2 linked regions of the Xenopus tropicalis genome follow. The protein of the gene in region 1 interacts with the protein of each later gene in a pairwise test. Links are inferred from orthologs where the notes say so. Each region holds a gene or a part of one and is shown on either strand. Other genes may lie near its edges.

Region 1 (4,257 bases):
CTGACTAAGGAGAGGACAAACCAAAATCCCCCTACAAACAGATATTGTAGATATTATGTAATAGATAATGTCCCTACTTGTCACCTGTCCAGTTCTGGGAACACACCAGTACCGGTATGGGATCCGTTATCCGGAAACCCATTATCCAGAAAGCTCCTAATTATAGAAAGCCTGTCTCCCATAGACTCCATTTTAATAAAATAATTCAGATTTTTTAAACCAATTAAATTTTTCTCTGTAATAATAAAACAGTACCTGTACTTGATCCCAACTAAGATATAATTACCCCTTATTGGGGGCAGAACAGCCCTATTGGGTTTATTTAATGGTTAAATGATTCCCTTTTCTCTGTAATAATAAAACAGTACCTGTACTTGATCCCAACTAAGATATAATTACCCCTTATTGGGGCAGAACAGCCCTATTGGGTTTATTTCATGGTTAAATGATTCCCTTTTCTCTGTAATAATAAAACAGTACCTGTACTTGATCCCAACTAAGATATAATTACCCCTTATTGGGGCAGAACAGCCCTATTGGGTTTATTTCATGGTTAAATGATTCCCTTTTCTCTGTAATAATAAAACAGTACCTGTACTTGATCCCAACTAAGATATAATTACCCCTTATTGGGGCAGAACAGCCCTATTGGGTTTATTTAATGGTTAAATGATTCCCTTTTCTCTGTAATAATAAAACAGTACCTGTACTTGATCCCAACTAAGATATAATTACCCCTTTTTGGGGCAGAACAGCCCTATTGGGTTTATTTAATGGTTAAATGATTCCCTTTTCTCTGTAATAATAAAACAGTACCTGTACTTGATCCCAACTAAGATATAATTACCCCTTATTGGATGCAAAACAATCCTATTGGGTTTATTAATATTTTACGGATTTTTTAGTAGACTTAAGGTATGGAGATCCAAAATACGGAAAGACCCCTTATCCGGAATACCCTTGGTCCCGAGCATTCTGGATAATGGGTCCTAAACTACCACTCATAAAAGCCCTTAGCAGCCATATTTGCTAGGAGACCATCCAGGTTGGAATTTTTCCCTTCCCTGCTAGTCTGACCCTGGGAACTGCCCATCGTTGCTGCTGAGTGCCAGCCCTGTGGAGTTGGGTTAAGTTTCCCTTTCATATACAGCAGCACATTGTGCCATATACAGGGGGTCCTGTGAGTGCAATACAGAGAGAGCGCAGACCCACAGGCAAGACCCAGTGAAACAGACAGTTGGGTGCAGGCACAGCACAGGCAGTTGCAGCTCTGAGGGGGCGGAGCTACAGACTGTTTACTGACACCATGGAGACTGGATGCTGCTGCTGTGTGTAACCTGGAGACTGGGAGCTGTGTGGGGAGACAGTGAAGGGACAGACAGGCTTTAGGGATACAGGGAGACGGGGGGAGAGTCCCACACAGGGGAACACAGGGAGCCCAACGGAAAGGCAGAGAGAGAGTGTGGGCCCCCCCAGCAGGGACCAGTTTAAGCAGAAAGTTTGAGGGGAGCTCCCCCCATTTACTGGGCGCCATGGCTTCTTATCCCGTGCACGGACTGCCCTTCCTGCCTGGGAACACCTACAGGGACCCCACGGTAAGTACCAGTGTCTTCCCATGCTGCACCTGGGCGGCTTTGGGAGTGTAGAGCTGTATTTGTTGGCAACATGGTGATGTAAAGTATTGGAGCGATTTGTATAATAGATTTGTATAATAAGTTTTATCCTTATCTGGGTCTGTTTTGCCCTCTCTGATCCAGTTGTACCATGTGACATACAAACAGAATGGAGGGTAAGTGGGTGGGGCCTGTAACAAGGGGTTCCTCATATCTATGGTGTTTGTATACTGTACCTACATGATGATCCAGTCTTTGGAACCGTAATCATCAGAACCTTGTGCCGATTCTGTTCCAGAAAAGCGCATTTCACCGCTCCCAGACCTTAACCTACAAAAACGGTTACAGTCGACCCATTCTCCCCACTGTCGGCATTGGACGGGAACCCATCACAGCCAACCAGCTGTCCCAAGCCGAACTAGATGAGCTGGCCAACAAAAGGCCAACACTGACCTATGGGCGTGCCAAGCCGGCCCCACCATCAGATTTCATCCCTTCCTATGTGGCCTTTGATAAAAAGGTAAGGTGTAATAATGGTAAGTTCCCATAAAGCAGTGAAGAACCACTTTAAGCACCATCCAGAGGGTCATGGCCCTTATTTATTTTATAAGCAAATGCAATAACCAGGGCCCCAAATCCCCCCCTAACTGGCCTTCAGGCTGGGCCTCCTTAGCCCATAACAAGGTTACAGATATATAGAAACATTGGGGTAACAGTCACCCTGCTATAGTTCCAGGGGTACCCAGGGCACAAATAAGCACTCACCCCAAATCCCCCCTAACTGGCCTTCAGGCTGGGCCCCCTTAGCCCATAACAAGGTTACAGATATATAGAAACATTGGGGTAACAGTCACCCCGCTATAGTTCCAGGGGTACCCAGGGCACAAATAAGCACTCACCCCAAATCCCCCCTAACTGGCCTTCAGGCTGGGCCCCCTTAGCCCATAACAAGGTTACAGATATATAGAAACATTGGGGTAACAGTCACCCTGCTATAGTTCCAGGGGTACCCAGGGCACAAATAAGCACTCACCCCAAATCCCCCCCTAACTGGCCTTCAGGCTGGGCCCCCTTAGCCCATAACAAGGTTACAGATATATAGAAACATTGGGGTAACAGTCACCCCGCTATAGTTCCAGGGGTACCCAGGGCACAAATAAGCACTCACCCCAAATCCCCCCCTAACTGGCCTTCAGGCTGGGCCCCCTTAGCTCATAACAAGGTTACAGATATATAGAAACATTGGGGTAACAGTCACCCTGCTATAGTTCCCGGGGTACCCAGGGCACAAATAAGCACTCACCCCAAATCCCCCCTAACTGGCCTTCAGGCTGGGCCCCCTTAGCTCATAACAAGGTTACAGATATATAGAAACATTGGGGTAACAGTCACCCCGCTATAGTTCCAGGGGTACCCAGGGCACAAATAAGCACTCACCCCAAATCCCCCCCTAACTGGCCTTCAGGCTGGGCCCCCTTAGCCCATAACAAGGTTACAGATATATAGAAACATTGGGGTAACAGTCACCCTGCTATAGTTCCAGGGGTACCCAGGGCACAAATAAGCACTCACCCCAAATCCCCCCCTAACTGGCCTTCAGGCTGGGCCCCCTTAGCCCATAACAAGGTTACAGATATATAGAAACATTGGGGTAACAGTCACCCCGCTATAGTTCCAGGGGTACCCAGGGCACAAATAAGCACTCACCCCAAATCCCCCCCTAACTGGCCTTCAGGCTGGGCCCCCTTAGCTCATAACAAGGTTACAGATATATAGAAACATTGGGGTAACAGTCACCCTGCTATAGTTCCCGGGGTACCCAGGGCACAAATAAGCACTCACCCCAAATCCCCCCTAACTGGCCTTCAGGCTGGGCCCCCTTAGCTCATAACAAGGTTACAGATATATAGAAACATTGGGGTAACAGTCACCCCGCTATAGTTCCAGGGGTACCCAGGGCACAAATAAGCACTCACCCCAAATCCCCCCCTAACTGGCCTTCAGGCTGGGCCCCCTTAGCCCATAACAAGGTTACAGATATATAGAAACATTGGGGTAACAGTCACCCTGCTATAGTTCCAGGGGTACCCAGGGCACAAATAAGCACTCACCCCAAATCCCCCCCTAACTGGCCTTCAGGCTGGGCCCCCTTAGCCCATAACAAGGTTACAGATATATAGAAACATTGGGGTAACAGTCACCCTGCTATAGTTCCCGGGGTACCCAGGGCACAAATAAGCACTCCCCCCAAATCCCCCCCTAACTGGCCTTCAGGCTGGGCCCCCTTAGCCCATAACAAGGTTACAGATATATAGAAACATTGGGGTAACAGTCACCCCGCTATAGTTCCAGGGGTACCCAGGGCACAAATAAGCACTCACCCCAAATCCCCCCCTAACTGGCCTTCAGGCTGGGCCCCCTTAGCCCATAACAAGGTTACAGATATATAGAAACATTGGGGTAACAGTCACCCCGCTATAGTTCCAGGGGTACCCAGGGCACAAATAAGCACTCACCCCAAATCCCCCCCTAACTGGCCTTCAGGCTGGGCCCCCTTAGCCCATAACAAGGACAGAAATAGTGGGGGGCAGAAGGGATGTGAAGCGCTAAAGGTTCTAAACCCCTAGGTTACAGAAGAGCAATT
Region 2 (4,543 bases), on another chromosome or scaffold:
TGAAAATTTGGTCTGTAAAAATGTAGGTTATGTTTCATTTAAATCTGCAATGCCTCAAACATGTCACAAAGACAGCTGACTTTCCTATTTGATCCTTTGTTCAAGGAAACCACCCAAACTGGAATCAATTGGAGCATTTGATCAAAAATCGACCTTACTGAACTCCATCAGTGTCATTTTGAGCTCCATATGTGTTCTGCACTAATTACCATGCAGGCAGATAGCCATAATAAATGGCAGCTAGTAATGAAAATAGCACCAGCTAATTGTTCTGAATGTGCCTGTACATAAAACAGAGACCGAGGCTAAATATTTGGCCATGACTGCACATTACAACAACAAGCCAATAACAGTGTCACACGGTTGGGAGCAATTTTGTAGTAACATAATAACTGGTTCAAATCAAACAAATTATTAATACTGCTCCCCTTGAACAGGTTATGTATAGAGGCAACTTGCTGCAATTACAGTAAAATTACAGGAAAGTATTATCCAACATGATGGTTGGATATTTCATATGAAATGCGTGCCATGACTATACATATTTTCCAGTGCTAAATGCAGCAGACAAACAGCTCAGCAATTCTTCCTGTGGGTTTACCTTGAAGGGTACATATACAGATATGTATGCATGCATTACAGACACACTCATTATCAACCTTGAACCTAGTCAGGTTTGGTAATGACAACATTTGTTAGTAGATGTTAAACCTATTTATTAATATTCTCAATTAATATTCTTATGTGCCAGTTTGGTAAACTACTATAGGTATGGGATCCATTATCGGGAAACCTGTTATCCAAAAAGCTTTGAAATACAGGAAGCCCATCTCCCATTCACTCTATTTTAAACAAAATTTTTTACAAATGATTTCTCTGTAATAATAAAACAGTACCTTATACTTGATACCAGCTGAGATGTAATTAATCCTTACTGGAGGCAAAACAATCCTATTGGGTTTATTTAATGTTTACATTTTTTTTTTAGTAGCATGGAGATCCAAATTACAGAAACACCCCTTATCTGGAAAACCTCAGGTTGCAAGCCTTTGGATAACAGGTCCCCACTGTGTGCACAAGGGCCAAGGCTTTCCTGATTAATAGTTTCACTGCCAGAAGCTCAAACAGTGTAATGTTTAGCAAATAATGATGGGATAATACAGCTCACTGTGTTTCGATCAGACATTTAAAAAAATGCAGCCAGATTTTGAGACTTAAAAAAAAAAATATATATTGACCACAGTTTTATATTTATTCACAAAATTCCTTTATTTTAATGGTACTATCACCTGCATAATAACTATTTAGTATTGGTACAAAGTTATTAATAGAACTGCATGGCCATTTTAGATTTCCCTTTTTGTATATGTCTAGAACTAACAGATGAATTATCAGAGAAGTGTTCACAGTTAAGATTTTGCCCTGACACAGTTAAATGCAAATCGCATTTTTCCCAGCTGTATTGGTGATATCTTGCTGTTTGCATAGCTCATACGCCACCTACTGCAAAACCAAGCTGACAACTCATGCAATGCTGGCAGCATTTTCATTCCATCATCGTGGCAGGGCTGAATAGGGTTCTTTTTTTTTTTTATTTCTCTTTACAACCAAACAAGAAGCAAGGCCAGACTGCTATTGTAGCACGCAGCTGATCAGTATGGAACGCAGAATCAACAGAACAGACAAAGACTGTGATGATAAATGTCACAATTCAGAAGATGGAGACCCGAGTACAAACTGTAAAACATCCCTTGTCACTCTCAACGTTGGTGGCTATCTGTACATCACACAAAAACAGACTCTCTCCAAGTACCCTGACTCTTACCTTGAAGGTGTGGTCAATAGGAAAATTTTCTGCCCAATTGATGCAGACGGACATTACTTCATAGACAGAGACGGGCTACTATTTAGGCATGTTCTGAACTTTTTACGAAATGGGGAACTCTTGTTACCAGAGGGTTTCAAAGAAAACCATCTTTTGGCACATGAAGCAGATTTTTTCAAGCTGAAGGCACTTAATGCAGCTGTGAAAGCTAGATGGGAGAAAGAGCAGCAGGCTGCACGGGAAACCACTTTTTTGGAAATAACAGATCACCACGATCGGTCTCAGGGTCTTCGGATCTTCTGCAATGCCCCTGATTTCATCTCCAAAATAAAAGCTCGCATTGTGCTGGTTTCCAAAAGCAGGCTGGATGGATTTCCAGAGGAATTCTGCGTTTCCTCGAACGTTATTCAATTCAAATATTTCATCAAATCAGAAAATGGGACACGTCTCGTACTGAAGGAAGACAACACCTTTGTTTGCACGCTGGAAACTCTTAAGTTCGAAGCCATTATGATGGCACTGAAGTGTGGATTCAGACTCCTGACTAGCCTGGATTGTTCGAAAGGGTCAATTGTTCAGAGCGATGCACTTCATTTTATCAAGTAATTACTTTTTCACTAAACAAAAGGCAGCGGAGGATCCAGCCAAGCCTCATTAAGCAGCAGCTCCTTGGCTTCACATCATGTACCTGACTCGTGAGCAAGCAAAGAGCTGTGCTGCACATGAATACATGTGAGCCAACGGTATGTACATGTCACCCAAAATGACAATTAACTCCTGACTGCAGAAAATCCTGCTCTTTGTGTAAAAGGAAGTCTAACAGGTTTTTAGAACATATTCACTGTAAATAAATGGTTTTATGCTGCTAAAATATTTGCCCTTCACTGCTGTCATTTGCAATCATGTTTGCGCACTATTATGTGTAACAACAGACACATTTAATCAGATGAAATTGTTCTTAACAGCTCTCTGTGAAAATCTTGCAGCTTTCAACATCTTTTTTTAAAGCACAATGTCAGTCTTGGCTTCAAATCAGCATTGTGAAACAGTCATATTCCCCAAAATGCACCTAATGTTATTACTGTATATCTTGTGTGACTGTAAAATAGATTTTTCCCTCACAAAAATGACTGTATAACTGTAGTTCCTATACTAAGGATGAATCCCAGAGAAGTATTTTTGTGCATGTATTTCAAAAGATCTTAGATGTGACTGTTCTCTTTGCATGTTTACATATAACTCAAAAATGGTTATTTCGGGTAAAAATGTAGTACAGAGAACTCATGAAAATTATAACATTTTTAGGTTGCCTGGTTATTTTAGAGTAGCATATTGTAGCAGACAATTCATATGTAGCTACCAACTAATTTTCATTACACCAGTGTATTTCAACCTTTTTTGGGCAAAGGCACACTTGTTTCATGAAAAAAATCACGAGGCACACCACCATTAGAAAATGTTAAAAAATTTAACTCTGTGCCCAGCAGCGGTGCCCCCCTAGTACATTGGTGCCAAGAGCAGTGCCCCCCTAGTACATTGGTGCCCAGCAGCAGTGCCCCCCTAGTACATTGGTGCCAAGAGCAGTGCCCCCCTAGTACATTGGTGCCCAGCAGCAGTGCCCCCCTAGTACATTGGTGCCCTGCCTACGGCACACCAGGCAACATCTCGCGGCACACTAGTGTGCCGCGGAACAGTGGTTGAAAAACGCTGCATTACACCATAGCTGAAGATCTACACAGAAACATTGTGACTAGGGTATAACAAAGAAGCATATATGACAATATATTATATATACATACTTTTTTCACTGCATTCATTCAATAACTAGCAAGGAGTTTAAAAAAATAAAAGTATATGTGCAGAAGCAGTCTGAAAAGCCTTTATCAAGTTTTCTGGCAGCTGGAGTATAACCCTTGCTAACACTGCATGTAGCAAAGAATATATTATGTTATATTTGATGCACATTTCCATGGTTTTTCATACTGTGTTTTTAAAATGATTTTTTCTTTGAAATATGTAATGAAAAGAATGTATTAAGAGGTTTCCATTGATTTGTGAATGATTTAATTACAACACTGCAGAGCATTTTTACATGATTTTGATTGTAATTATGACTGGATTACGATATGCAGCACTTAATTACACCCATAGCTTTATACAATTTCCCAAAAGGTATTGATTTGAGCTGTCTGTCATTGAGCACATACACAAAACATCATGAAGAAATGACAGCATATTTTTTAATTCTCCTGCCACAAACACTTGTAGCTCTGAGACCTGAAAACTTTTGCAACAACAACAATCAGTGCTTTCTTACGCAACATAGTACCCACCAAGTGTGTATATGTTTTTTCAATTTTAAACACAATATACGCACATATAACCACAAATGTAACCACAATGGACTTATATGCCTTGTTTTTATGCATTTTGCAGTTTTTCACAGAAGCAAGTGTAATTAGAACAATCATCAAACAGTAGAAAATTGCGCATGCTGGGTTTATAAAAAAAAAAAAAAAAAAAGCTTAAGAACCCAAAAGAGTGAAAACGTTTGAACACTTGTGAGTAAAGCTGAGATTAAATTTGCATTCAAAAAGCATTAAAAATGCATCTTATAAGAATGAATAATTCAGTTATGTGTATGAGCCATAAGGGTACAAGTGTTGGTCTTAATAAGCTGCTTCCTAGACACATGCCTGATACCGAAGCAGACAGACT

Evidence for each region.
Region 2: the proteins of efhc1 (region 1) and kctd4 interact in binary tests that used the Homo sapiens proteins (3 or more experiments, as listed by UniProt). The two-hybrid records come from large-scale screens. The link is inferred for Xenopus tropicalis from reciprocal best matches to the Homo sapiens genes EFHC1 and KCTD4.

The regions. Positions count from the first base shown.
Region 1 is NC_030681.2:150,467,363-150,471,619, forward strand, and holds the start of efhc1 (EF-hand domain-containing protein 1), read left to right. Parts: upstream 1-1,346; 5' UTR 1,347-1,532; coding exon 1,533-1,595; intron 1,596-1,911; coding exon 1,912-2,133; intron 2,134-4,257. UniProt on the Homo sapiens protein: Microtubule inner protein (MIP) part of the dynein-decorated doublet microtubules (DMTs) in cilia axoneme, which is required for motile cilia beating.
Region 2 is NC_030678.2:133,874,977-133,879,519, reverse strand, and holds kctd4 (BTB/POZ domain-containing protein KCTD4), read left to right. Parts: upstream 1-1,505; 5' UTR 1,506-1,657; coding exon 1,658-2,431; 3' UTR 2,432-3,196; intron 3,197-3,535; 3' UTR 3,536-4,347; downstream 4,348-4,543.